7 linked regions of the Callithrix jacchus genome follow. The protein of the gene in region 4 interacts with the protein of the main gene of each other region in a pairwise test. Links are inferred from orthologs where the notes say so. Each region holds a gene or a part of one and is shown on either strand. Other genes may lie near its edges.

Region 1 (3,018 bases), on a different chromosome or scaffold from region 4:
CAGGGTGTAGGCCCTCTGCGTTCCGGCACTGACCCTCAAGCAGAGGGTCCTGGCTGCAGGGGCATGGCACGCAGCCTATCTCAGAGGCACCTCCCACACCCTGTCATCACAAGCCCAGTTTGCCTTTGAGATGACCCAGAAGGTTGAGACTGTCCACACAAGCAGGTACAGTCCAGAGCTTGGCTCCCATTTCCCTGTGTGGGGGAGTCCTGGCCTCAGAGCCCTGAAGCTGACCCTGGGCCAGCCCAGCCCTCCTTGTACCTGGTGCAGTACCCCTCCACCCCCAGCCTCTGTGAGGGCCCAGGCAGAAGACCCCTCAGCCCCAGCAACAATCCCCCAGCTCACCTGCTCCATGAGATGGGAAGGCTCAGCCCAGCAGGTTGGGAGCCCCCACTCCTGGCCACCCAGGGCAGAAAGGGGCCCGTGAGCATGGAAAATCAGGCCCACCAGACCGTCCGTCTGCCGTCCTAGGCCGGCTTGCTCCTGGAGGGTCTCCAGCCACTCACGATGGGGAAATATTTCCAGAGATTCTTGGTCTTTGTGAGTTTGCAGCTATGCAGTTGCCTGCCTCGTGCCTCTTCGAAGAGGGCTGCTTCAAAAATCACAAGGGATCGATGTCGTTTGAGGCTCAGGGTCCTGCAGGAACGTCCCAGGCCACGGAGCCTCCTGCGGAGTTGCAGTCACTGAACACCTTTCCTCTCCCTGCCCCAGGCAAGTACTGGCGCTGCCTACAACGTGCAGCCTCCACGGCGGGGCGCTCTCTGATCGAGGCTCAGACCTGCGAGAACGACGAGGCCGAGACGGTCACCGCCATGGCCTCACTGTCAGTGGGCGTGAAGCCCGCCGAAAAGAGGTGAGCGCCTGCCCAGCTGCCCGCCTGCCCCACCGCCCGCCTGCCCCGCCGCACGCCTGCCCCACCGCCTACCTGCCCTGCCGCCCGCCTGCAGGCCCACCCAGCCCCACTGTGCCCAGTGACATACTCTGCAGGGTCAGAACCTTTATGGCACATGCCCTACCAAGCTGGCAGGGCAGGCCCTGGGAGAGGGATGCCCATCAGACTAGAAACAGGCCAGGTGGCCCCCTCCATCCAGTGCCAAAGCCCCTTAGAGACACATAAGGAGCAGTAGGCCCTGAACAGATGCCACCTGGGCTAGGCTGGCAGCTGGGGCAGCGCGCGGCCTTTAACCCACGTTCTGTTCTCTCTCTGCTGCGGGGCATGTGCCCCACGCCCCTGTCTCTTTCTCTTGCGGGATGCACAGACCAGACGAGGAGCCCATGGAAGAGGAGCCGCCCCTGTAGCGCCCCTCGAAGCTGCTGTTCTCTTGTCTGTCTGTCTGTCCTGAAGCTCAGCCAAGAAACTTTCCCGTGTCACGCCTGCGTCCCACCACGGGGCTCTCGGAGCACCCAGGGACACCTGGCGTGTGACAGCCATGGGAAGCCTTTCTGCCGCCTGGGCCCACAGGTTCGAGATGCACATGCACACCTGGGCGTGGCGGCCTCACAGGGAGCACGGGACAGATGCGGCTGACGCGCAGACACTCGGACACGCGCAAGCCAAGCACACTCTGGCGGGTCCCGCGAGGGACGCCGCGGTAGAAAGAAGCCTGCGGCGACGAGCGGCCGAGCCGCTGAATTCCGTTGACGCGAGGCACAGAAAATGAGCATCAGAGATCTGATAATGCAAAACAAACTTGACTAAAACAGGTGCTTAAAGTTTGATTATCACACGCAACTCCACAGTCTCTGTGTAAACCACTCGACTCATCTTGTAGCTTATTTTTTTTTTAAAAGAGAACGTTTTCTACGGCTGTGGCCTGCCGCTGTGAACCATAGCAGTGTGCAGTGGGGGGGTCTGCACCCAGGTGGGGGACAGAGTGACCTTTAAAGAAGACAAAACCGGACAGAATCAGGAGTGTGAGCCTGGGGAAGCTGGCTTGAGTTTCTCAAAGCCATCGGAAGATGCGAGTTTGTGCCTTTTTTTTATTGCTCTGGTGGATTTTTGTGGCTGGGTTTTCTGAAGTCTGAGGAACAATGCCTTAAGAAAAAATAAACAGCAGGAATTGGTGGGACAGTTTCCTGTGGCCAGCTAAGGCTGGCAGTGCTGGCCCCATGACCTGGCCTGAGCCCCAAGCTCGGGCACCGGCCATCATCTCCGGGGCCAGGGGCTGTAGCCCGCCGGGCCCCATTTTGCTTTATTGCTGTTTAAGGAAAATGGAGGTAGTTCCAAAAAAGTGGCAAATCCCGTTGGAGGTTTTGAAGTCCAACAAATTTTAGACGAATCCAAAGTGTTCTCTTGTCACACATCACATAGCGATTGAGCATCTCCATCTGGTCGTGAAGCATGTGGTAGGCACACTTGCAGTGCTCCGATCGGAATGCTTTTTATTAAAAGCAAGTAGCATGAAGTATTGCTTAAATTTTAGGTATAAATAAATATATATGTGTATAATATATATTCCAATGTATTCCAAGCTAAGAAACTTGATTCTTATGAAATCTTGATAAAATATTTATAATGCATTTCTAGAAAAAGTATATATATATATATACACACACATTTATATATATATATATATATATATATATATATATATATATAAAATGAATGCAGATTGCGAAGGTCCCTGTAAACGAATGACTTGTGAATTTGCTCTAAAGGTGCTTATGGAAAGGGATCCTGATTGAAATTCATGTATTTTCGAGCTCCAGATTGGCTAGAATTCAAATCGCCAACACATTCGCCACTGGGCAACTACCCGACAACTTTGTACTTTAATTTTAATTATTTTCTAACAGAACCCTTTCTGTCTCCAAGCCTTCATGCACATATGTACCTAATGAGTTTTTATAGCAAAGAGTATAAATTTGCTGTTGATTTTTGTATGAATTTTTCACAAAAAAGATCCTGAATAAGCATTGTTTTATGAATTTTACATTTTTCCTCACCGTTTAGCAATTTTCTGAATGGTAATAATGTCTAAATCTTTTTCCTTTCTGAATTATTGCTTGTACATTTTT
Region 2 (4,193 bases), on a different chromosome or scaffold from region 4:
TGTCTGTCTTTAGGCCTTGGAACTAGCCAGTGGTACACAGCCTCTTAATTGGAGAGGTTAGTTTCCTAAAAGCCTGCAACTCTTACATGTTGGAGGGCGGTGTGGGGTAGGGGTGTGGGGGGGGGGTGACTGCTAATTGTTTCCCAAGCCACCTAACCTAAACTTTCTTGTTCTAAGTGAGTGTCGCCCCCTGGTGGGGTGGGAATAACCTTGGCATATCATCAGGGAGGCCAGTTCAGGCAGGAGACTTCCCGTCAGAGAGGGGTGGGGGGGCCTCGAAATCCCAGGCTCAGCCTGATTTGATTTTGTCATCATTCCAATGAGAGCAAGCATGCTCTTCTTAGACAATATGATTTATAGTTAGGCCTGAGTTCAAGTCCTCACCCTGCTGTTATTGGGTGAGTTTCCTAACCTCTCATTACCTAGTTTGCTAATATGTGAAATGTGGAATCTCAGAATTGTTGTGAAGATTAATAAAATAAAAATTTAAAAACTACTTTGCAAAGTCTAAAGCCTAAGTAACAACTTGTTATTTTCTCTACCCTGGAAAATGAACCTAAGGGAAAAGAAAAACAGCTGTGTAGGCTGGGTCCAAGGAGGGGAGCTCTTTATGAGCTGAGACTGTGGCATGGCAGTCTACCCAGAAATAGTGCTAAGGGTCTCAGTCAGCTGTCCCATCTTCTGTTCTGCCCAGCCCCTAGGGATAGTGCAGACTGATCGCTCAATCTCCTAAGAACTAGGGGACGTTCCTCTGCTCATCCAACCCTCTGTACTTGGTTGTATGCTGACCTCACCACCTACGGAGGTACAAGCCAGCAGTAGGGCTTGAGGCTCCCCAGTTTTGTGATTAGAGCCCCATATTTCTCAGGACAAGTTTTTCACAGTATCTTTTGAGATCTTTCCTCACAGTTTCTTCACGGAAGGCCAAGGGAACTCCCAATCTTGTGCTCTAAAGTCAGAGCCCTACCTCCTTCTTCATGACTATATTCCCTAACAGTAAAGGAACATTTTCCCCCAAAACTTGGATAGCCCCTTACAAGGGAGAGTTTCTTGGCAGCACAAGGTAAACTGACACAGGTAGCAGCTCACAGCCCTTTTTCTTCTTAGTGAATAAGATCAGCTACATTTCCCCATGAATATTATTGTTTTTACCTTTGCCACTGCACTCCCTCCTCCTAAGTAGAGCAGTGGTAGAACAGTACCGCTACACTGAGGTATTGGGAGGCAAGCAGGGAATCCAAGTAATCCCACAGGAATGGGAGAAAAGGTGTTGGGGTGGGAAGTAGGGGAGGAGGCAAGGCTAGGTTGGTGCGGGGAATCCACACATTTCCTGCTGTACATAGGATAAAGACTTCTCTGTGGGAATAAGTGTTTGGGGCAGCCCAAGCCAAAGTGCTGCGAGTGTTCAGCAGTGAGCAGAGAATTCGATTTTCTCCAGGGCAGGGACAGTGTCTTATTCATCTGTGATCCTCCAGCATCAAGCACCGAGTGTGGACTATACTATGTACTAAGTAAATGTTTGTCTAACTGGAGATTCAAGGTGGATCTCTGGGCTTCCCAAAGGGGTGGGGGTGAGAGGCGGTAAAAGGGGCCCCAGAGTTTAAGTAAGGGAGGCTGGGGGTCCAGGGGGTAGATGGTGTTGGGAAGGAGGTAAGAGGGTCATAATTACCTTCCATCCTGCTGAGCTGTTGCTGTCACCCTTGTCTTTGAAGTAGGGCACAGTACGGACCATCCACTCGTAGATCTGGGCGAGTGTCAGTCGCTTCTCTGGGGCGCTTTCAATGGCCTGGCTGATGAGTTCTGCATATGATTGATTTCCCCAGGCATTCCGGCGGGAGCCTCCCTTCCGAGGACCTGTTACAGCCCCCAGGATTCCGGGCTGGGGGCCCCCCACCGGCTCTGGGAGCCGGGAGGGCAACAGGATCGGCTCTGAGTGCCCCTCCGTGTGTACCTTTTCCCCCAGACCTGGCTCCACCTCGGGCGGCTCGGAAGGCTGGGTAGAGAGCTCTGGTCGGGGAAGGGGCCAGGTGCAGGAGCGGGGACGGCTCTGGGGTTCGAAGTCGGGATCGAGGTCTATGATCGCGGCAGCCTCTGTGGCTGAATTCTCATTCCCTGGATCCATACGTGGAGTTGGACCTCCCCGGCTCAGAGTTCAGTGAAGCCTGCCAGAGTCCCTCACGATGCCTCCCCTCAGGGGGGAAGCACCGAGGGCCAGGAGGCACATTCCTGCCAGTCCTCAGAAAGTCTCGAACTTCCCCCTAGTCCCAGGACGCTAGCCCCTAAGCTGTCCCTTCACACAGTTCTCCAATCCCCTTTCCGACTACAGCCTACAGCCTCAGAGCTCTTTCTGAGATGCCACCTGTAACCTCCGCCGAGCAAAGACACTTTTTCTGCCACCTCTCACTCAGCTTCCTGCTCTTTTAAACCTGAGGCACGGTATCCCCTCATACATTGCGCTCCCATCACCGAACGTCTCCTTAGCCGCAGTTCCCTCCCCCTTTTAAGTTGCTGCCCCCCGGACACTCCTCCCAAATTGCCTCCTCCCGGATCGCTGCCCTCCCCCACGCCCCGCTCCCCCGCGTCACTTGCCCCTCCCCTGACTCCCTCTTCCCCCGCCTCTTCCCTTCTCGCCACTCTTAATAGGGTCCTGGTCCCCGCTGCTGCGACCTCCCTTATTCCCGCACCGATTCCCCTATCAACCCCCCCCACCCCCCGCCCCCCGGGTTTCCCTTTTGTTTTGCTCCAAGCAGCAGCCCCCGCCTGACGTCTCTGTTTACCACTCTCCGGGGCAGCCATCTGCGCACGCGCCTCGGAAGCCAGTCGGGAAACCGAGTTCTTCAGTCGTGCCACCCTGGTCACTCTTGAGGACTACAATTCCCGTCCTGCTTCGCGGCCAGGAGCCCGATACGACGGCAGGAGAGCGGCGTGGCAGGATATAAGGAGGTGGAACTTTAATTATTAGAAGTCGTCACAGACTCTTTATTTTCTTAAGAATCGTTTTTCGCCCTTTCCCCCCTTTCCATCGCCTCCCTTGTGAGTCGGGGTCGCCTAGGTGACCACATTGAGAGATGCTAGCCCTTTCTCTCCTTCATTTAGGAGAGGGCAAAAGGGGAAAAAATCTTTTCTTCAAGAAGCAGGAGACCGAGAAGCAAGAAGCAAGGAACAGACTATAAAATAGGATGTATGCACATTGGAGAGTTGGGTAGGGGGCTGTGTAACATAAACAAATGGTTAGCCCATGGTGGCGTTCCCCCTCACCCCCTTCCTCCTCCCTCCACCCGCCTTCATCCGACATATGCAGTTCCCACTGACAGTGAGGTCTCACTAATCAGTTTCCTCCACTGGCTTTTCTGGCCTTCCCTTCAACACTAATATTCTCTTCACATCTCCAGCGGCTTCACTTCTTATTCAACAGGTCCCAAACTGAAGTCATTATCTGTTCCTGCACCCACACCCCTATCCTCTGGCTACCCATATCTCTGAATTTGGCTTTTGATAGTCTTGGTCTACCCAGTCTCCCAAGCTAGAAGTACCCATTACCTCTTCATCTCCATAACTTTCTACATCCAAATCCCGGTTCAAGACCTTATTTATAACTGTATTTAAATTGTAGGATCAACAGGGTGCAGTGGCTCACTCCTATAATCCCACCACTTTGGGAGGTCGAGGCAGGCACATCACTTGAGTTCAGGAGTTCAAGACCAGCCTGGCTCACATGATGAAACCCATCTCTGCTAAAAATAGAAAAATTAACCTGATGTGGGACATCCAGCTGTAGTCCCAGATACTTGGGAGGCTGAGGTAGGAGAGTCACTTGAACCCAAGAGGTGGAGGTTGCAGTGAGCCAAGATAGTGCCACTGAGCTCCAGCCTGGGTGACAGAATAACACCCTGTCTCAAAAAAAAAAAAAAAAAGTTGCAGTATCATCTCAATTGGATCTCCTTCCATCGGTGTTTTCTTCACTACAGTTCATGTTCAGAGCTGCCAACAAGGTTACTGTTCTAAGAAACATGTATGGCTGGGTGAGGTGGCTCAAACCTGTAATCCTAGCACTTTGGGAGGCTGAGTTGGGCGGATCACCAGAGGTCAAGAGTTCAAGACCAGCCTGGCCAACATGGTGAAGCCCCATCTCTAAAAAATAAATAAATAAATAAACAAATAAACAAGAAAAAAGAAACATGTCTGGAAATTAT
Region 3 (3,500 bases), on a different chromosome or scaffold from region 4:
GAAAATCAAACACTGCATGTTCTCACTCACAGGCGGGTGTTGAACAATGAGAACACATGGACACAGGGAGGGGAGTATCACACAATGGGGTCTGTTGTGGGGTGAATAAGGGAGGGACATAGAGGGGTAGGGAGGATGGGGAGGGATAACACTTGGAGAAATGCCAGATACAGGTGACCAGAGGGATGGAGACATCAAACCACATGCCATGTATGTATGTACCTATGCAACAATCCTGCATGTTCTGTACATGCACCCCAGAACCTAAAGTGGAACAAAATATATAAGGATTTTGAGTGTGTGTGTGTGCGAAATCCCAAATACTTTTGGTCCCTAGTTTTTCAGATAAGGGATATTCAGACTGTAACTCAAGCCCAGAGTTCATGAACTTCATATGAGTGAAGCTCACCACCATCTTTTGCCTGGAATCCTTTAACAGTACCCCATTACTCCCTTAATTCATTCAAATCCTTTCTCCACGTATGCCTGACACAACAGATGTGCAATAAATACCTGATGCAGCCTGATGCATAAGGTTGCCAACATGATGTTTTAAAGCTGAAAATCTAATTATGCCACTCTAAATTTAAACCTTTCACTGGCTTCTCTTTGCTGTATTGGAAATGTGTATCATTGTCTCCACATTCTAGACTTTGCCTTCCACACTGGTAGTTGTTGTCTGTGATATTCTTCCCCTTGCATTGCTAGGCTCTGCCCAGGTTCTTTAGCAAAGAATGGTTTCTTGAATTTGAGCTTTTGACCAGTGAAGTCTCTGATTGGGATGTTCTTCTCTCACCTATTCCTACTCTGAATTTTATTTTAAATGATACATTCTCAGAATATTTTCCTTACCCCTTAATCTGTTATCTCCTTCTAAAATATATCTTCCTCTCTGTATCACTTAGCACACTGGATATGATTATCTAAAACTGTTAGACTGTAAAATTCCCAAAAGTTAAGACTGTTCCTCTCCTGTTTCTGGTTACATCCTCAAGCACAAAGTCTGGCACATAAAAAGTACCCAAATTGAGCCACTGAACTAATATGAATAAACCAGTTTCTGATTTCTGTTTGACTCGACTTAGACTATCCAACTATTCTGTCAGAGCCAAACAAAACAATCTAAAGGTTGCTTTTGTCAATGTTTGTTTACATATATTATTGATGCCTACATAGTGACTCAAGTTCACAAACCTCTAAAAATAGAAGTGACTTAGCAATCTTCTAGTTTAAGTTTAAGAATTTATGGTTCTTTAAATCATGCCAATATCCATGACAATATAATTCAAAGTCAGAAGAGTTATCTCAAACCTTTATAGGCACTGTTCTAAATTCTCCATGGTCTTCATTACGTCCCTGGAGCAGAACTGCAGATCACTTATATCAGAAACTCTGTAAGTCCCACCCAACAATCTGAGTTAACAATTTCTCCAGATGTCTGTTCATGCCCACAGAAGTTTGGAAACAACTGCCCTCGATGACCAGGTCAGATCCACATGTCATCGAGGGCCTGTGGTATATCCAAGGTATAACAATTAAGGGTTTTAAAATTTTGGATTCTCTTGGTTAAAGAATAGGAAAGGCGATGTGTTCGTTTATTTTACATCAAGTTTACCTTTAAGTCAATGAGGAAGCCTTCAAATGGTCTGTAAGGATTGTGGACAATAAGGTGGAAATTAAGTTGCTGTATAAGTAGTAGTTCATACTCCAGTATCTGTTCAAGTGCCTTCTCCTGTCCAAGAGGACTCTCCCGAAGGTTTCCAACAAACTGAGGACTAGATACATTGAATTCATCTACTTTGCAGGCCAAAAATGCACAAGTGAGCCTAGAGGAAAAAATAAGGAGGTACGGGGGTGGGGGGTGGAACAACATGCATATACTTTGAGAAATATCTAATTTATTTCTAAAAGTATATTCTATAATTGTCTGATATTCAAAAGTGACTGGTAGACATTGCAGGAATATATATATATTTTTAAGATAGCTCTTTGTTCACACTTTCATCCATTAGGAGACATAAGGCAGACTATAAAATCAGGTCAAACCAACTAATATTGCCATGGCATTCAACCATCATTCACTCAATGACAGTGTCATGCAGGACAACCTAAGTATCTGGAAAAACAAATTAACTGAGGAATAAGAATACTTTGTATCATGTAGACAAAGAGTTAAAAATAAAGCAATACCCGCTTATATATCATATAAGCATGGGAAGAAAAGTAGGTTTAAGGAACTTTGTGGAAGCCCATCCATGGAAGTCTCTGAGGGCATCTGAATAAGGAATTATTATTTCAGGGACAAATGTGTGAAATTTACCTGGCCACTTCATGCTGTTCAGTATAAGAAACTAGTTAAAAAAGCTATTGCAAAAATCAAGGTTGGAAGTGAGATCAAGGGCCTAATCTTGACTGGAGGAAATGGGAATCGAAAAGAGAAAACAGGTACGTTGTCATTGAGAACAAGCTCTTTGATGAGTCTCATACTAATTTCAACTTTAATGATAGACACAGTGCTCAGCAGAGAGCAGAAACAAGAGACCTTTGTTCAACTGAAATGAATCTGAAGTTATAGCATCCAAACACTGACTGCATGTGGAAGGAGAGGGGCCACTACAAATGATTCTCGGTCTGAACAACTGGAAGAACTTAGGCGTCTAACAGGGAGAGATATTAGAGAAGCACCTAATTGAGAAAAACAAAATTTGAATCTGGACAACTTGAAGTTCAGATGCCATCAGTATTACCGAAGTATAGGTAAATAGAGATCTTAAGTTCTGAATTAAAAAAAAAAAAAAAAAAAAAATTCAAGTCTAAATGACCTAGATTAGGAAGTCAGTTCTCTGACACAACTCTCCTTCCACAAATACTCAAAGAGTATAAAAGTCTCTTTAAATGAAAATAAATTAGACAGACATACTCACATTATTATCCTGGGATGATATTCCATTACTGAATTATTAAGATAAAAACGCTTGAAATACATACAAGCTGTACCCTAAGGGTTAAAAAAAAATCATCAGTATTCACAAATGTTACCTGTTAAATTTTGTGAAACAGAATTTACTTATGGAAAGGTTTCTTTGTAGAGATTACCCATAAAAATGCTAATATTAATTCTTCTTTAATCAAAATAAATTGATGAATTACTACATAAATGCCATAGCCAAAAGACCCTTTCCCGTCCTTTGGTTGTCTATCCCCAGACTACTCTGGCTAATCCTTCCTATGGTCACTGGATTTAAAAATAGGGTATGTGTGTTTCAGAATTCAGAGTACCAAAAATGACCTGAATTAAATTCAAGGAGAAAAAATACAAATGTTCAGAGATTAACCAATCTTATAAAAATATTAACAAAAATACATGGGTAAGGTAATAAGCCTTCTCTCTAAAGTCACTTCATATTTTTTACATAACCGTATGTCCACTCCATGATTTGTGATCACTGCTGCTAACTGAACAGCAAAAGCAGCACTACTATTTACTGAATGCATCCCAT
Region 4 (2,946 bases):
ATCTCCGAACTCTGTGGGACACGACTCTCTCCTGAGATCTGGGGTTTTAGGGTTGCGCTATACCTCTGCCTCACTCAGATGGTATTCCCCTCCGCTGAGATCGGAGCCCGTGATGAGACTGTGACCTGCTTGCAAATCGGGTGCTCAGTGCCGCTCGCTACTGCGGCGCTGTCCTTAGATCTCACGCCGGAGACTTCACTGTTTCCTGCCCCGCCCCACCTGAGCTCGTCAACCTCGCGGCTCCCACTCACCTCCCCTCAGCCCGGCAGAGGAGCCTTGGCGCCTCCTGTGGGTTCACCGGCCCCTTCCGGGCCCGTCCAGTGTGGGGCCTCCCTGAAGGACAGAGCTGGACCCCGGCCTCACCTGGACTCAAAGTCTTGCGTGCGGGTCACTGAGCACCCAGGGAGGTCAGGGTCCTAACTCAGGTCCAAGTTCAGGGTCTCTAAATCAGATTCCAGTCCCACTCCCAGCCCATCGCCAAGAACTGGAAGAGACAGGAGGAGTGTTACAGGGGAACTTTATTGAGAGGAAACATGATCACACCCAGCCGACATGCTTTCCCTCAATCTCGATCTTGCACTGGCAAGCGCACGCACACACACACACACACACACACACACACACACACAATCTCTAGCCCCTACCACTGTGCAGTTCTCAGGCACAAGGCGGGACACTTACTCCTCAATTCCTAACATCAGGCAGCAGGGGCAGGAGGGAGGCAAGATCGGGGAGAAGTAGCCTGGTCGTGGGGTCGGCAGGAAGCGGGTGCAGAGAGCAGGGGTGGGGCATGACCAGTGATTAGGTGTGCTCAACAGCTGCGAGAAGAGTGGGATCCCCAGCCCCAGGTGGCCTCGGCTCTGCCAGTCCCTTTCCATGGAACCTTTTGGAGCAAGAACAGCGCCTGGGGGAGAAGGGTGGGGCCTCTCACCCCATACTAGTCCTCTTGGCAGGGTGGGGTACTGGAGGGGGCAGGGCAGGGCCGGCTGGTGGCGGGCAACACTCAGCTCTGGGGCTCCTGGGGCGCCTCGCCCCCCTCTTCCCCGGCGTTGTCAGCCGTCCACAGGGTCAGGTTGTCTCGCAGCAGCTGCATGATGAGGGTGCTGTCTTTGTAGGAGTCCTCGCTGAGGGTGTGCAGATCAGCCATGGCCTCGTCGAAGGTGGTCTTGGCCAGCGAGATGGCCTCCTCGGGGCTGTTGGCGATCTCGTAGTGGAAGACGGAAAAGTTCAGGGCCAGGCCCAGGCGGATGGGGTTGGTGGGCGGCATCTCCTTCTTGCTGATGTCCATGGCCTCCTGGTAGGCTGACCGGGCCGAGTCAATGATGCGCTTCTTGTCGTCACCGGTGGCCACCTCAGCCAGGTAGCGGTAGTAGTCGCCCTTCATCTTCAGGTAGAAGACCCGGCTCTCGGCGTCCCCAGACTCCTGGATGAGGTGTCTGTCCAGCAGGCCCAGCACAGTGTCGCACACGCCCCGGAGCTCAGTCTCCACCTTCTCTCGGTACTCATGCACCTCGGGGCCCTTCTCCTCCGAGCCCTCCTCATTGCTTTTCTGCTCAATGCTGGACAGGACCCTCCAGGCAGCCCTCTGGCCACCCACCACGTTCTTGTAGGCCACAGAGAGCAGGTTTCGCTCTTCGCAGGAGAGCTCCTCGCCCTTCTCCACGGCGCCCTTCATGAAGGCTGCCATGTCCTCATAGCGTTCGGCCTGCTCTGCCAGCTTGGCCTTCTGGATCAGACTGGCTCTCTCCATGGCTCTGGGAACAGACAGGAGGGCGGCGGGTAACTGCTGCCTGGGACCAATCCCGGACTCTGTGCCTCTCCTGCTTTCGGCCTGCCTTTTGGCTGGGTGGCCAGGCCCTGAGAAGGGTGGGGAGGAGCAGGGGGCAGGACCAGGGCCCAAGACCTGCCTCCCTCTCCTCTCCTCCCCACACCCTTTCCGGCTCTGCATGAAAGGTAAAAGGGTTGGGATGTGGGAGTGAGTCATCAGGACAGTCAGCAGGAGAAATCTGGGCGTTGGCCCCACCTGCACAGGTGCCTTTCTGGGCTCCACGCTGCCCCCTCTTGTTCAGGACTGGCATTACATGACTGCCCACATCAGGAAGCTGCCTGGCTTCTCATATCAGATCCTCTTTCACAGTGCCCTTCCAGGGGCTAAGGATGGCTTTAGCCCCTGGCTGCTTCAGCCTTGATAGAGCTCATAAAGGTTCAGGAGGATGGGGTTCCTAATCCGGAGAGGTAACTTCCCCCGCTTGGTTCAGGGGAGAATAATTCATGTATAGGTAGGGCTATACAGTTTCTCAAGCACTTTTATATTCATGATCAACTTTAATCCCCTCCATGTCTCTGTGACATACACAGGACCATAGAGATGGGTACACTAAGTTTCAGAGAGGGGTGAGATTTGCTCAAAGTCACATAGCCACCAATTCCCTGAAACTCTTTTCTGCACCCTACCTCCTTTAGATTTTCTCCCATGAGGCCTCTGACCTATGAGCTCCAGGCTGTGTTTGGAAATGAGATCCAGGCTGCTTCCTCAGTCTACCTGAAGACAGTTCCATCCCCCAGATGGGTCCCCTCTGAGCTCCCAGAATGCACAGGTGGCAGCTTTCGGAGTGCCACTTAATAAAGTGTTTAACAAGCAGCCTCTGACGCTCCAGCCCAGCCTTTGTAATTAGTCACCCAGTAGGTTTGTTGAACACATTTCCCATCACTACACAATTTTCCCTTTCAAGTTGGTGGCCTGTTGCCACTTGTTTGAGGACTTACCCTCTGGCCCTCCATGCCAGGTCACCTGCCCTCTCCAAGCCATATGCCATCAGGTACCAGCGGGGCTTCCAGAGGGTGGGGTCCAGCTCCCCAGCTGTCCCACTTTCCTGCCTGACTCAGACTGCCCTCTTGTCTGAGGCTGGGAAGCAGTCCAGTTTGATCCCCCAGGGGGGACGCTAG
Region 5 (3,940 bases), on a different chromosome or scaffold from region 4:
CAGGCACCAGCCCGGCAGCAGGCACCAGGCCAGACAGGTTACTCTCCATGTCAGGGAGGGAGGCCTGAATCCCTGAGACAGAGAAGGAGGGGCTGTCGGCGGGGCCAAGGAAATAAATACGGAGGGGTGGGAATTGCAGGGTGCAGAGAGGGAGATGGGGCGCTCAGGAGGAAAGAAGTTGTGGCTGACAGACCTCTCCTCCTCAACAGAGAGACCCCTGCCCTTGGGGAACATGGGCAGCCTGGGCCCCAGGCCCCTCACTCAGGGGCATGGAAGGGCAGTTTCTTCTCTCCAGGGCAGATCGGTTGAGGGTTGGTGGTGTCTCCTCCCTGGGCCTACCCCAGAGCCAGTGATGGAGGGAAGCAGAGGCCCAAGGAAAGGAGTCCCTGGCCTGAATCGCTCGTGTCGTCCTGGCTGGAGGGGGAGAGCCGGCCGATGCCCGTTGGCCCAGGGCAGCGGCCGCTATCGGGGGCGCCCAATGCCCCGCTCTCCCCCTCCCCAAGTTGGGGGAGGCTCTCTCCTCCAATAATGCGGATGGGGAGAGCCTCTGCCTTCTGTCCTCGGAATTCTCGGAGGCTGCCCCCGCCCCACCCCTCCACCGCGTCCACTCTCCAGCGTCAAGGGGCGGGAGGAGGCGGATGCCAGGTCCTCAGGCCGCTGCTGGGAGAGCCGGCTCAGATCGTGGGGACCCGGGGCTCCGGCTCCCCGGCTCCCGCTGCTCCGCCCCCTCCTGCGCCTGCGCGGGCGCCGTTCGCTACGCAAATTGCGCAGGGGCCGGGCTGGCTCCGCAGTCTAGCGCCGCACCCGGCGTGGAGCCGTTCGAGAATTGGCACGAGCTGCGCCGCTGGCGGGCGCCCGGGGTTACAGGAGGCGGCAGGCGGGCGGCCGAGTTGCGGGGGACTGTGCCGCACACAGGGGACCCCCGGGTAGGCCGCGCCCCGGGCCGCCAGCCTTTACTAGTTCGGGGGGCCGCCAGTTCCCACGCTTCTCTCCCCCATCCCCAAATTGGGGTCTTGCCTCCCGGCCGGGGACAACGAATCCCCGACCCTCGGTCTCTAAAGAAAACTTCCGCCCATAGCCAAGATGGCTTCCGGGCCCCGCCCCCGGGTCTGAACCCGCGGAGCCCCGAATCCCCCGCGCGGGCCCGCCCCCCGTCCTGGCGCGCCCGCGGCCCCGCTCACCTGGCCTGCCGCCTGCCAGGCGCGAAGCCCCCGCGGGCCCTACGGTCCACCCTCACTGGGTCCCCGGCCCTCCTCCCGCGCCCGGGCAGCCATCCCAGCCAGGGAGGAGGTTCCCTCCCTTATCTCCAGTGCCCCCGAGATGGCGCGGGAGGTGTCCCCCGAGGCGGGCGGCGCGAAGCTTCCACGCCTGGGAGGAGGAGCGGGGAACGGGACTTTCCGACCGGGTCACCCAGTCCAGGCGAAGCAGTAACAATAGCAACAATAATCGCATCCGACGGCTGAGCTTCAGTTGCGGCTGTGCCGAGCGCCTTCGCCCGTAGTAATCACTCCTTTCACAAAGTTTTCACTGGCTCCCGGGAGAGCTGTCACCATCCCCTCTTCACTGGAGGTAAACTAAGGCCCAGAGGGGCTGAAGGACTTGTCTGCAGAAGCAGGTCTCCAGGTTCCAAATGGGGACCCCAGAGAATCCCTCTCCTGCTCCTACACACATCCAAGGTGTGAGGCAGTAGGGATGTGAGAACCCGGGCCGCGGGAGGTAGGAAAAAGGCGGTGGGCTAGGAGGTCGGGACGAGGGGGGGCGGGGCCGGGCCGGGTTGACCCCGCCTCTGGACCTACCCGAGTGACGTTGCGAGAGGTGATTGGGGCAGGTCGCTGACAGTTCCCGTTGCCCAGGCAACTAGGGCCGGGAGCCCGGTTGCAGGAGGGAGGCGGCAGGCCCGGGTCAGGGGCCTCGAGATCGGGCTTGGGGTGAGACCTGTCCGCCGTCACCACGGGCGGGGCGGGACCTGGGTAGGCCCCTGGGTAGGGGCCTGGGTCCACCAGGGTTCTGACGGGAGACTGAGGTCCTGAGCCGACAGCCTCAGCTCCCTGCCAGGCCAGACCCAGCAGACAGATGAGGGCCCGGGAGGCCTGGCGGGCTTCGGGGCGCCAGGGTGGGAGAGGGAGCCAGGGGCACCTGCCTCTGCCTTCCAGGACCACCGTTGGCCCCAGCTGTGCCTTGACTACCTAACATCTTGTCCTCACAGCCCAGAGCATGTTCCAGATCCCAGAGTTTGAGCCGAGTGAGCAGGAAGACTCCAGCTCTGCAGAGAGGGGCCTGAGCCCCAGCACCGCAGGGGACAGGCCCCCAGGCTCTGGCAAGCATCGACGCCAGGCCCCAGGCCTCCCGGGGGACGCCAGTCACCAGCAGGGACAGTCAACCAGCAGCAGCCACCATGGAGGTGAGTTCCCCTCCGCCTCCACCTGCTGGGTCGCCTCACTTCCAGCCCATTGGCTCCCTGCATCCCAGCTGCATCCACACGCACTGAAGGCTTCGGGGCAGTCCCCAACCTCTCAGAGCCTCAGTTTCCTCTTTTGTAAAACAGAGCAATTAATCACCACCATTGTAGGACTGTTGGGTTAATTAGCAGGAACATATAGGATTCACTTGATTACAGAGCTGGTGCACATTAAAGTGGCAAAATGGCAGCTGCTGGGCCTGGTGGCTCACACCTGTAATCCCAGCACGTGGGGAGGCCAAGGCAGGAGGATCGCTTGAGCCCAGAAGTTCAAGGTGAGCCTGGGTGACATAGGGAGACTCCATCTCTTAAAATACATACATATATATATAATGGGTAGCTATTAGTGTGGGGCCAGGATAGAAATCAGTGACAGGCAGGCAGTGATGCAAAAAGGAAAAGTGACTTGCCTAAGGTTACACTTGCCTGGGGTTTCCTTCCTTAGGAGGTGGGGCTGGAAGGCTCCTTGGTGCCCTGCCCCAGGCTATGTGCTTTCCCTGGGATTGGGCCTTCCAGCTCCCGGGTGTGTTGTCTTGTCCTGTGGCTCGCACCCACAGCAAGGCTGTCCTGGTACAATTGCCAGGAGCAGGTGACCTCAAGGGGCAGACAGTCCTCCCAGACAGCGGGGCTATGTGTGGTGGGGAGCACAAGCTGCAAGATGGAAGGATGAATGAACACTGGGGGTCACGGCCATTTCTCAATAGGCTCCACTACCTTGTGCCCAGCACTGGCCTGGAACAACAACAGATAATTTCGGAACAAAGAAACTAGGTCAATCCGGGTGGGGTGGCACATGTCTGTAGTCCCAGCTACTCAGGAGGCTGGCTTGAGCCCAGGGATTCAAGACCAGCCTGGGCAATTCAGCCAGACCCCATCTCTAAAAATAGAAAACTAGGTCAGGTCACTATTGCACTGAAGCTTAAACGACCTCCTCCCCATTTTCAGGATTAAGAAGGCTTAAGAGGCCTCCTCCCTCTCCCTCTCTTACCACACACACTCACTCCCTTCCTCAGATTGGACCCTATAACTTGCTTTTTTTCTCTTTTCTTTTTTTTTTTTTGAGACAGGGTCTCACTCTGTCATCCGGGAGGGAGTACAGAGGTGCAATCTCAGCTCACTGCAGCCTGGAACTTCTGGGCTTAAGTGATCCTCCTACCCCAACTTCCCAAGTAACTGGGAATACAGGTGTGTGGACCACACCCAGTTAAATTATTTTTCACTTTTTCTTTTTCTTTTTAAAGATGAACTCTCACTCTCTTGCCCAGGCTGGAGTGCTAGGCCTCCAGGTGCAAGCTAGGAGTTAGCTAGGACTTCAGGTGCAAGCCACCACGCCTGGCTAATTTTGTGTATTTTTAGTAGAGACAGGGTTTCACCCTGTTAGTGGGTATGGTCTTGATCCGACCCCGATTTAGCCTCCCGAAGTGCTGGGATTACACTCATGAGCTACCACCCTTGGCATTTTTCGCTTTTTCATTAGAGACG
Region 6 (4,256 bases), on a different chromosome or scaffold from region 4:
GCCAATACAAGAGTTAAAAATATAACAGGGCATGTTAAATTAATGCAACAATGTGTGATAAACCCGACTTAAACACAGCCAACAATTCAGTTTTAAATACACTATATGGCTGATGGCTCACACCTGTAATCCAAGCACTTTGGGAGGCTGAGGTGGGCAAATCACCTGAGGTCAGAAGTCCAAGACCAGCCTGACCAACACAGAGAAACCCCGTCTCTATTAAAAAGAAATTAGCTGGGCATCGTGGTGCATGCCTGTAATCTCAGCTCCTCAGGAGGCTAAGGCAGGAGAATCGCCTGAACCAGGGAGGTGGAGGTTGTAGTGAGCCAAGATCATGCCACTGCACTCCAGCCTGGGTGACAGACCCCAGACTCTGTCTCAAAAAAAGAAACAAACAAAGACCCATTTGAAATCCTTCATTACCACAAATCTGCTATGACTGTTTCTGGCTTCAGTTTAGAAAGTATGGCGCTCCTACTCTTGTTCAATACAAGATTTTGCTTCTGAGTGAAGATCAATGATCAAAACTAATCAATCAGGCACAGTGGCTCACACCTGTAATCCCAGCACTTTGGGAGGCTAAGGCGGGTGGATCACATGAGGCCAGGAATTCCAGACCAGCCTGGCCAACATGGTAAAACCCCATCTCTATTAAAACTACAAATATTAGCCGGGCATGGTGGTGCACGCCTGTAATCCCAGCTACTCCGGAGGCTGAGGCTTGGTAATCATTTCAGCCTAAGAGGTGGGGGCTGCAGTGAGCCAAGATCACAGGACTGCTCTCTGGCCTGGGAGACAGAAACTCGGTCTCTCTCTCTCTCTCTCTCTCACTCACACACACACACACACACACACACACACACAGTTTCTTTAAATGGACTATAAGAAAATTAGTTCCCTGATTCACCTAGTCTAAGAGGTTGTATTACTCTTTACATAATTTTCTAATCTATCTCAGGTGGAGAAACAATCACCACTGTTCTACCTACTCAGGGTTAAAGAGCATTAAATATTATACACTAATATGCTACAGGGACACTTTAAGGTTTACGTTTACAGATTAAATTATCAGACAGCTATCCAGCAAACAAGTGGCATTTTTAAGATCAAAATGAAAGCACTGGCACCACTAGGCCACATCTCAGGACATTACTGAAAGCATGAAAATACTCAAAGCAAGGAAGCATTCCCTAAGAGAAGACATTTCGTGCCGGCAATGACCTCATGACACTTTTAATGAAGGGCCGGGGACATTTCTTTACAAGTTATTTGCTAAATGTTTTACAGAAGACAGCCAACAACTAGATTGAAACACTTTTGAACCCAGAAGAGTTCAGAAAACGAACAAACATTTCTTCAATGGAATTTCTACTACAAGTTCTCATTCTCCAGCAATGCTGTTCCTGGCATTCTGTCGTTTCACGTGAATAAAATAAAAGGTTCCTTTTATAAAACCATAGCCTGTGAGCGCTGAGAGACCTAAGCGCTCATCTAAGCCAACGTGTGTTTAGCAAGGAGGACGGCGAAGCCCCCAGCGGGTGTCCCTCTGCCAGGCCGTGAGTGGCAGAGCAGAGCTTCACTACGCATCTGCTCTCCTGCCTTCCAAAATGTGCAGCCAACTCCTTCAGACAAGATCTGTATGGACAGGAGTCTGTGCCTTCCCCAAGGCTGCGCCCTAGTGTTCTGGAATCCCGCGAAGATCCCCGAGCGGACACTCAGTGGCTGTGATTAAATTCAGTTCCAGGCCGTCTTAAGGCACGAGACTGTCCACTTGACCGGATCGATTCATCGGCACCAGGAATACAGGGATCGATGTGACCGGACACACACGCACACCTGCGCCGTCCATCGTGCGGCAAGCTGACCTTCCAGGGACCGAGCCGGAACGCCGCAGCGACACTGGCCGCATCATCGACGGACCTCGCAGACCCGCCCGCCGCGGCGGGAAAGGGCGGCCTGCTGCAGGAAACCGTCCGACCCGCTGCCTCTCGGGCACCGACGGCCTGCCCTCCATTTCCAGCGCGTTCGGGCTGGGGGGGGACACCGGCCTGCAGGGCACGGCCCGAGGAGCGCGAAGGCCACCCACCCTGCAGGCCCGCCGACGGGAGCGCCCGGGGTACTTACGTTTTCGGTGTCTCGTTCATTCACTGTCGGCAACGGGGTCCTCGTGGACATTGTACTGCGCTTCAATTCTGCACAATACGACGGCGAGAACAGAACGGCACAGCCCTGGAAGGCCGGCGACCCGCGTCCTCGAGTCCACGGCAGGCCTGGAGCGGCGCCGTGGGGAGGGCGGCTCCCTTCCCCCTATGGCTGTCTAGATCCCGGGCCTGGCCCGGGCCGTACCCCGGCGGGTACCGGGGCTCATTCTCTCCCTGCCCCCGGCGGCCGCGGCGAGGAGCCCGGGAGGGCGGCAGTGGCGGGGCTGAGGCTGCGGGCGGCGTGCTGCGCTTCCGCCCGCCGGCGTCCCCTCGTCTCTGGGCGCCCCGCGAGCCCCGGCCCCCTCGCCTCCTTCGCCACTCCCGCCCGTCGCGCCGCGAATTTCAGCTCGCGGGCCTCCACACAGCGCCGCCGGCGGCCCCTGAAAAACAGGAGGCGGAGGAGGATGTGAAGGAAGTGGAGCGCAAGACAGGCCTCGGCGGGCTGGAGGCGCCGACCATGGAGCGGCCTACGGACAAGGTGCCTGCGCCCGGCTGCTTCTCCCTCTCCAGCGAGCTTGCAGCCTCAGCCTCCGCCCTAGCGGCTGCCGCTACCGCTGCCGCCGCCGCCGCACCCCGGCCCCTCAGAGCCTCACGGACTCAAGATGGCCGCCCCTCGGCTTCCTCTGCTGCCTCCGGATGCCGGAAGTGACGACACGCCGCCTCCCGGAGTCCGGCCAATCAGCGTGGCCTGGGAAAGCCGGCCCGGTTGCTGTTGCTAGGGGCGACTTGGTCCAGACCCCCGCCGCGGGGGCGGTGCAGAGGGCTAGGAAGTGCCGGCCGGGTCCTGGCTGACTCCCGCGGGCTGCGGGTTCCTCCTGTCAGGAACGCGCGGGCAACCCCGAAAGAGCCGGGAAACGGCCCTGGGCAGCAGCCAGAGCCCTCCCGCTGAGTAGGCATTTACAGACCACAGGCCCGGGTTGGCTGGATTACAGATGGAGAGCCTACTATGCGCAAAAGTTGCGGTTGCATCCCTGGGACTGCGCAGCACCGAGTGGAGGCACAGAAGCAATGGATGACAGGGCCGAGGCTACGGGAAGGAGCCGGGCTCTTGCATCCTTAACTGTGACCCGGGCGTCAAGCTCTCGCCAACAGACCTTCCTGCATCCGGATCTGAGCAGCTGCGGTCTGGGCGCAGACCCCGAGCGCAGCAGACACTTCTTGCCCTCAAGGAACTGGTGGTCAGGCGGGTGACAGACCCGGACCCAGCTAAATGCCATCCGGATGGAAGAGTGCAATAACGAGGGTGGCACAAAGGAGATGTGGTCGGGGCCGAAACGAATCTGTAGAGGCCCCGCCAGTTCCTAAATGCCTATAGGGGATTTATAAGCAGGCTTTTCTTACAGACAGTGCGTAGCCGCTGGAAGGCTGGAAGCATCTCCGCGTGCCAGCCTCGGCCAGGCTCGGTAGACGCCTGCAGGCTGGAACTCTGGTAATGCTACCTGTCCTGGAAGCCTTCCTTGCCGGTTCACCTCTTCACGTGTTCGGTGCCTCTGCTCAGCTCCTAGCCAGCGGTGGATGAAATCCATGGGTGCAGGGTCCAAAGAGGGAGAGTGGTGTGGGATGGAGGTGACACGAACTGTTACTGAGGGTCAAGTCTACTTTGTGAGTTCATGATATTTGTTACTCCATTTAGCCTCAGGGTAACCGTATGAGATGGGCAGACTTTTGATCTGAAGTCTAGACAGGTACAGTGACATGGCTAAAGTACCCAGGTTGGCTAGCAACAGAGCTGGGGTTCTAACCCGGTCCCCAAAGCTTGGATGAGAAGCCCTCGGAGTGGGTGGCTAGCAACAGAGCTGGGGTTCTAACCCGATCCCCAAAGCTTGGATGAGAAGCCCTCGGAGTGGGTGGCTAGCAACAGAGCTGGGGTTCTAACCTGGTCCCCAAAGCTTGGATGAGAAGCCCTCGGAGTGGGTGGCTAGCAACAGAGCTGGGGTTCTAACCTGGTCCCCAACGCTTGGATGAGAAGCCCTCGTAGTGGGTGGCTAGCAACAGAGCTGGGGTTCTAACCCGGTCCCCAAAGCTTGGATGAGAAGCCCTCGGAGTGGGTGGCTA
Region 7 (3,500 bases), on a different chromosome or scaffold from region 4:
TTTTCCAACTTTTTGATGTCATCATCAGTATTTTATTCAAATCTAAAAAACACATAGAGTGTTCTCCCTCATCTTGATTAAGCAATTATTTTATTTCAGTGAAGAAAATATTTGGAAGCTCTGTGAATACATCAAAAACCATGACCAGTATCCTTTAGAAGAATGTTATGCTGTCTTCATATCTAATGAGAGGAAGATGGTAAGTTGGTGAGTGATTGCAGAAAGAAAATAAGAGATTTAGGATGACATTAGAAGCTAAATAAAAAAAGAAAGAAGTTAAATATAGCATGGGTGTAGTATTCTTCTGGAGTGTGCTTTATAAAATACAGCAACAGTTAAAAGTTTGCTTTTGACCGAGATTTTTTTTCCATACAAGGCATGATTGAGTTAGAAGAGTTGAGTCCCTTCTGTTGCCCAGGCTGGAGTGCAGTGGTGCAATTCTCAGCTCATTGCAATCTCCATCTCCCAGGTTCAAGTGATTCTTCTGCTTCAGCCTCCTGAGTAGCTGGGACTACAGACATGCACCACCATGCCCAGCTAATTTTTGTAATTTTTAATAGAGATGGGGTTTCGCTATGTTGGCCAGGCTGGTCTTGAAGTCCTGGCCTCAAGTGATCCTCCCACCTCAGCCTCCCAAAGTGCTGGGAGTATAGGCATGAGCCACCATGCCCAGCCTAGTCTCTTACTTTAGATAAGGAAATATGTGATGATCTACACAGATTTAAGTCCCTTTTCTTTAGGTATTAATGTAGGCCTGTGTTTTTTTCTTTACTTTTTTTGATATGGAGTCTCACTCTATCACCCAGGCTGGAGTGCAATGGTGCGATCTCGGCTTACTGCAACCTCTGCCTCCCAGGTTCAAGTGATTCTTGTGCCTCAGGCTCCCAAGTAGCTGGGATTATAGGCGCCCACCACCATGCCCGGCTAATTTTTGTATTTTTAGTAGAGACGGGATTTCTCCATGTTAGCTAGTCTGGTCTCGAACTCCTGACCTCAGGTGATCTGCCTGCCTCAGCCTCCGAAAGTGCTGAGATTATAGGCATGAGCCACTGTGCCTGACCATTTTTTTTCTTTTTTAAAATTCAAGATGGAAGAAGTAGACTTTTTAAAATGGCTTAGAGGCACATACTCTCAGTATTAAAGTAAGGATTTGTCTCTGGAGTTTCAATAGAACTGCAGTCAACTTATATGAAGAATTAGAAAAAGTAAGCCCTTCATATTTTGTAAAACACATTTGCAAGCATCATCTCATTTGATCCCAATGGAAGCCCTGTGAAATAGGCAAGGTTTGGATAACTTTCTTCATTTTATAGATGAGGAAATAAAGACTTAGGGTGGACCTCTGAATAATTAAATGGAAAAGCAACATTTGATACCTGCCAGGACTTCTGATTCCTAGTTCAGATCCCTTTTCACTCTCCAAAGAACATCATTCAATAGCTTGTGCTCTAGAGAGCTTTAATTGTTGGGGACACTTAGAAAAATTTAGATTTCTTCCTCTTCATTCATTCTTTCACCTTGATTTTTTGCATGCTTAAAAGTATTTTATTTCTCATGCATGTATTGCTTTAAAGAATTTAGTAGTTGTCAGGTACAGTGATACATGCTTGTAGTCCCAGCTACTTGTGAGGCAGCTGAGGTGGGCAGATCACTTGAAGCCAAGAGTTCAAGACTGCAGTATACTATGATTGCACCTGTGAGTAGCCACTGCACTCCAGCCAGGGCAACATACCAAGATCCCATCTTGGCCAGGTGCAGTGGCTCGCACCTGTAATCCTAGCACTTTGGGAGGCCAAGGTGGGTGAATCACTTCAGATCAGGAGTTCGAGACCAGCCTGGCCAATATAGTGAAACCCCCTCACGCCTGTAATCCCAACACTTTGGGAGGCTGAGGTGGGCAGATCACTTGAGATTAGGAGTTTGAGACCAGCCTGGCCGATATGGTGAAACGCTGTGTCTACCAAAAAATAAAAACAAAAAATTAGCCAGGTGTGGTGGCACATGCCTGTAATCTCAGCTACTTGGGAAGCTGTGGCAGGAGAATTGCTTGAACCTGGGAGGTGGAGGTTGTAGTCAGCCAAGATCATGCCACTGCACTCCAGCATGGGCGACAGAGTGAGACTCTTTCTCAAAAAAAAAAAAAAAATCCCATCTCAAAAAAAAAATGGTTAAAGAATTTAGTAGTGGTTTAACTGAGGGTATGGCTTATAAAATGTATTGTATTTTGTAGATACCTATATGGAAACAACAGGCGAGACCTGGAGATGGACCTGTGATCTGGGTAAGGCAGTTAAATTAATACAGAGGGTACTGAGGCATTATGACTTGTAACCTCTTGGTGTTTTGTATGTTTTGGTAAAGCAGAAGTGGCCTATGCAGTAGAGAAAGGCTATGGTCATTATTAATACATTGATCTTTTGAGAATAGGTGTTATTTGGTCTAAGGTGGAAATATATAGGCATATTTTCTTTTAACTTTTTGTTTTGAAATTATAGGAATGATTTTAAATGGTAGATATGTTTGTAATCTCCTAGACTCTTATCCATTTAGCAGAGGAAGGAATTTTGGCGACATGTAGTCTGGCTACGCATTAGAATTATCCGGAGACTGTTAAAAATGTAGTTTTTGGCTGGGTGCGGTGGCTCACGCCTGTAATCCCAAAACTTTGGGGGGCCAAGGTGAATGGATCACTTGAGGCTAGGAGTTTCAGACCAACCTGACCACCGTGGTGAAACCCCATCTCTAATAAAAATACAAAAATTAGGCCAGATGCAGTGGCTCATGCTTGTAATCACAGCACTTTGGGAGGCCGAGGCAGGTGGATCATTTGAGGCCAGGAGTTCGAGACCAGTCTGGCCAACATGGCAAAACCCCATCTCTACTAAAAAAATACAAAGATTAGCTGAGCGTGTTGGCATGCACCTGTAGTTCAGTTACTCGGGAGGCTGAGGGAGGAGAATTGCTTGAACCTAGGCGGAGGAGGCTACAATGAGCTGAGATTGTGCCACTGCACTTCAACCTGGGTGACAGAGAGAGACCCAGTTTCAATAAATAAATGAACAAATAATGTAGTTTTCTGGTTTAGTAAATCTAGAGAGGGGTTCAGGAGTTAGTGTTCTTGATGAACTGCCAGATGAACATGACTGGCATTTGAAAAATACAGATCTACTCCCACCCTTTATGTTTCAGGGAAGAAATAAACACAGAAAAACAAAGTGAGTAGCTCAGAGTCACTTAGTTGGTCAGTAGCAGAACTAGGTCTCAGACCTGGATCCTTTCCAGTACAAATCTACATGTCACCTTAACCCATTCCCCTTAAGAATGGAGGCCAGGGTTGGGCACGGTGGCTCACACCTATAATCGCAGAACTTTGAGAGGCTGAGGTGGGCAGATCACCTGAAGTCAGGAGTTCGAGACCAGCCTGGTCAACATGGTAAAACCCTGTCTCTACTAAAAACTTGGGAGGCTGAGTCAGGAGAATTGGTTGAACCTGGGAGGTG

Evidence for each region.
Region 1: the proteins of SFN (region 4) and HDAC4 interact in binary tests that used the Homo sapiens proteins (3 or more experiments, as listed by UniProt). The link is inferred for Callithrix jacchus from reciprocal best matches to the Homo sapiens genes SFN and HDAC4.
Region 2: the proteins of SFN (region 4) and FOXO4 interact in binary tests that used the Homo sapiens proteins (3 or more experiments, as listed by UniProt). The link is inferred for Callithrix jacchus from reciprocal best matches to the Homo sapiens genes SFN and FOXO4.
Region 3: the proteins of SFN (region 4) and CCNH interact in binary tests that used the Homo sapiens proteins (3 or more experiments, as listed by UniProt). The two-hybrid records come from large-scale screens. The link is inferred for Callithrix jacchus from reciprocal best matches to the Homo sapiens genes SFN and CCNH.
Region 5: the proteins of SFN (region 4) and BAD interact in binary tests that used the Homo sapiens proteins (3 or more experiments, as listed by UniProt). The link is inferred for Callithrix jacchus from reciprocal best matches to the Homo sapiens genes SFN and BAD.
Region 6: the proteins of SFN (region 4) and MARK3 interact in binary tests that used the Homo sapiens proteins (3 or more experiments, as listed by UniProt). The link is inferred for Callithrix jacchus from reciprocal best matches to the Homo sapiens genes SFN and MARK3.
Region 7: the proteins of SFN (region 4) and NTAQ1 interact in binary tests that used the Homo sapiens proteins (3 or more experiments, as listed by UniProt). The two-hybrid records come from large-scale screens. The link is inferred for Callithrix jacchus from reciprocal best matches to the Homo sapiens genes SFN and NTAQ1.

Annotation. Positions count from the first base shown.
Region 1 is NC_133507.1:160,370,064-160,373,081, reverse strand, and holds the end of HDAC4 (histone deacetylase 4), read left to right. Parts: intron 1-711; coding exon 712-853; intron 854-1,259; coding exon 1,260-1,299; 3' UTR 1,300-2,518; downstream 2,519-3,018. UniProt on the Homo sapiens protein: Responsible for the deacetylation of lysine residues on the N-terminal part of the core histones (H2A, H2B, H3 and H4).
Region 2 is NC_133524.1:68,376,856-68,381,048, reverse strand, and holds the start of FOXO4 (forkhead box protein O4), read right to left. Parts: upstream 2,801-4,193; 5' UTR 2,123-2,800; coding exon 1,670-2,122; intron 1-1,669. UniProt on the Homo sapiens protein: Transcription factor involved in the regulation of the insulin signaling pathway. Binds to insulin-response elements (IREs) and can activate transcription of IGFBP1.
Region 3 is NC_133503.1:123,464,033-123,467,532, reverse strand, and holds part of CCNH (cyclin-H), read right to left. Parts: intron 2,999-3,500; coding exon 2,925-2,998; intron 1,827-2,924; coding exon 1,616-1,826; intron 1-1,615. UniProt on the Homo sapiens protein: Regulates CDK7, the catalytic subunit of the CDK-activating kinase (CAK) enzymatic complex. CAK activates the cyclin-associated kinases CDK1, CDK2, CDK4 and CDK6 by threonine phosphorylation.
Region 4 is NC_133508.1:63,512,005-63,514,950, reverse strand, and holds SFN (14-3-3 protein sigma), read right to left. Parts: upstream 1,814-2,946; 5' UTR 1,751-1,813; coding exon 1,004-1,750; 3' UTR 501-1,003; downstream 1-500. UniProt on the Homo sapiens protein: Adapter protein implicated in the regulation of a large spectrum of both general and specialized signaling pathways. Binds to a large number of partners, usually by recognition of a phosphoserine or phosphothreonine motif.
Region 5 is NC_133511.1:121,342,697-121,346,636, reverse strand, and holds the start of BAD (bcl2-associated agonist of cell death), read left to right. Parts: upstream 1-1,140; 5' UTR 1,141-1,630; coding exon 1,631-1,676; exon of another isoform or gene 1,677-1,760; intron 1,761-1,847; exon of another isoform or gene 1,848-1,970; intron 1,971-2,206; coding exon 2,207-2,401; intron 2,402-3,940. Other genes in the region: integral membrane protein GPR137, read right to left, coding at 1-49. UniProt on the Homo sapiens protein: Promotes cell death. Successfully competes for the binding to Bcl-X(L), Bcl-2 and Bcl-W, thereby affecting the level of heterodimerization of these proteins with BAX. Can reverse the death repressor activity of Bcl-X(L), but not that of Bcl-2.
Region 6 is NC_133509.1:138,222,991-138,227,246, reverse strand, and holds the start of MARK3 (MAP/microtubule affinity-regulating kinase 3), read right to left. Parts: upstream 2,801-4,256; 5' UTR 2,176-2,800; coding exon 2,125-2,175; intron 1-2,124. UniProt on the Homo sapiens protein: Serine/threonine-protein kinase. Involved in the specific phosphorylation of microtubule-associated proteins for MAP2 and MAP4. Phosphorylates the microtubule-associated protein MAPT/TAU. Phosphorylates CDC25C on 'Ser-216'.
Region 7 is NC_133517.1:73,974,115-73,977,614, reverse strand, and holds part of NTAQ1 (protein N-terminal glutamine amidohydrolase), read left to right. Parts: intron 1-99; coding exon 100-199; intron 200-2,230; coding exon 2,231-2,281; intron 2,282-3,500. UniProt on the Homo sapiens protein: Mediates the side-chain deamidation of N-terminal glutamine residues to glutamate, an important step in N-end rule pathway of protein degradation.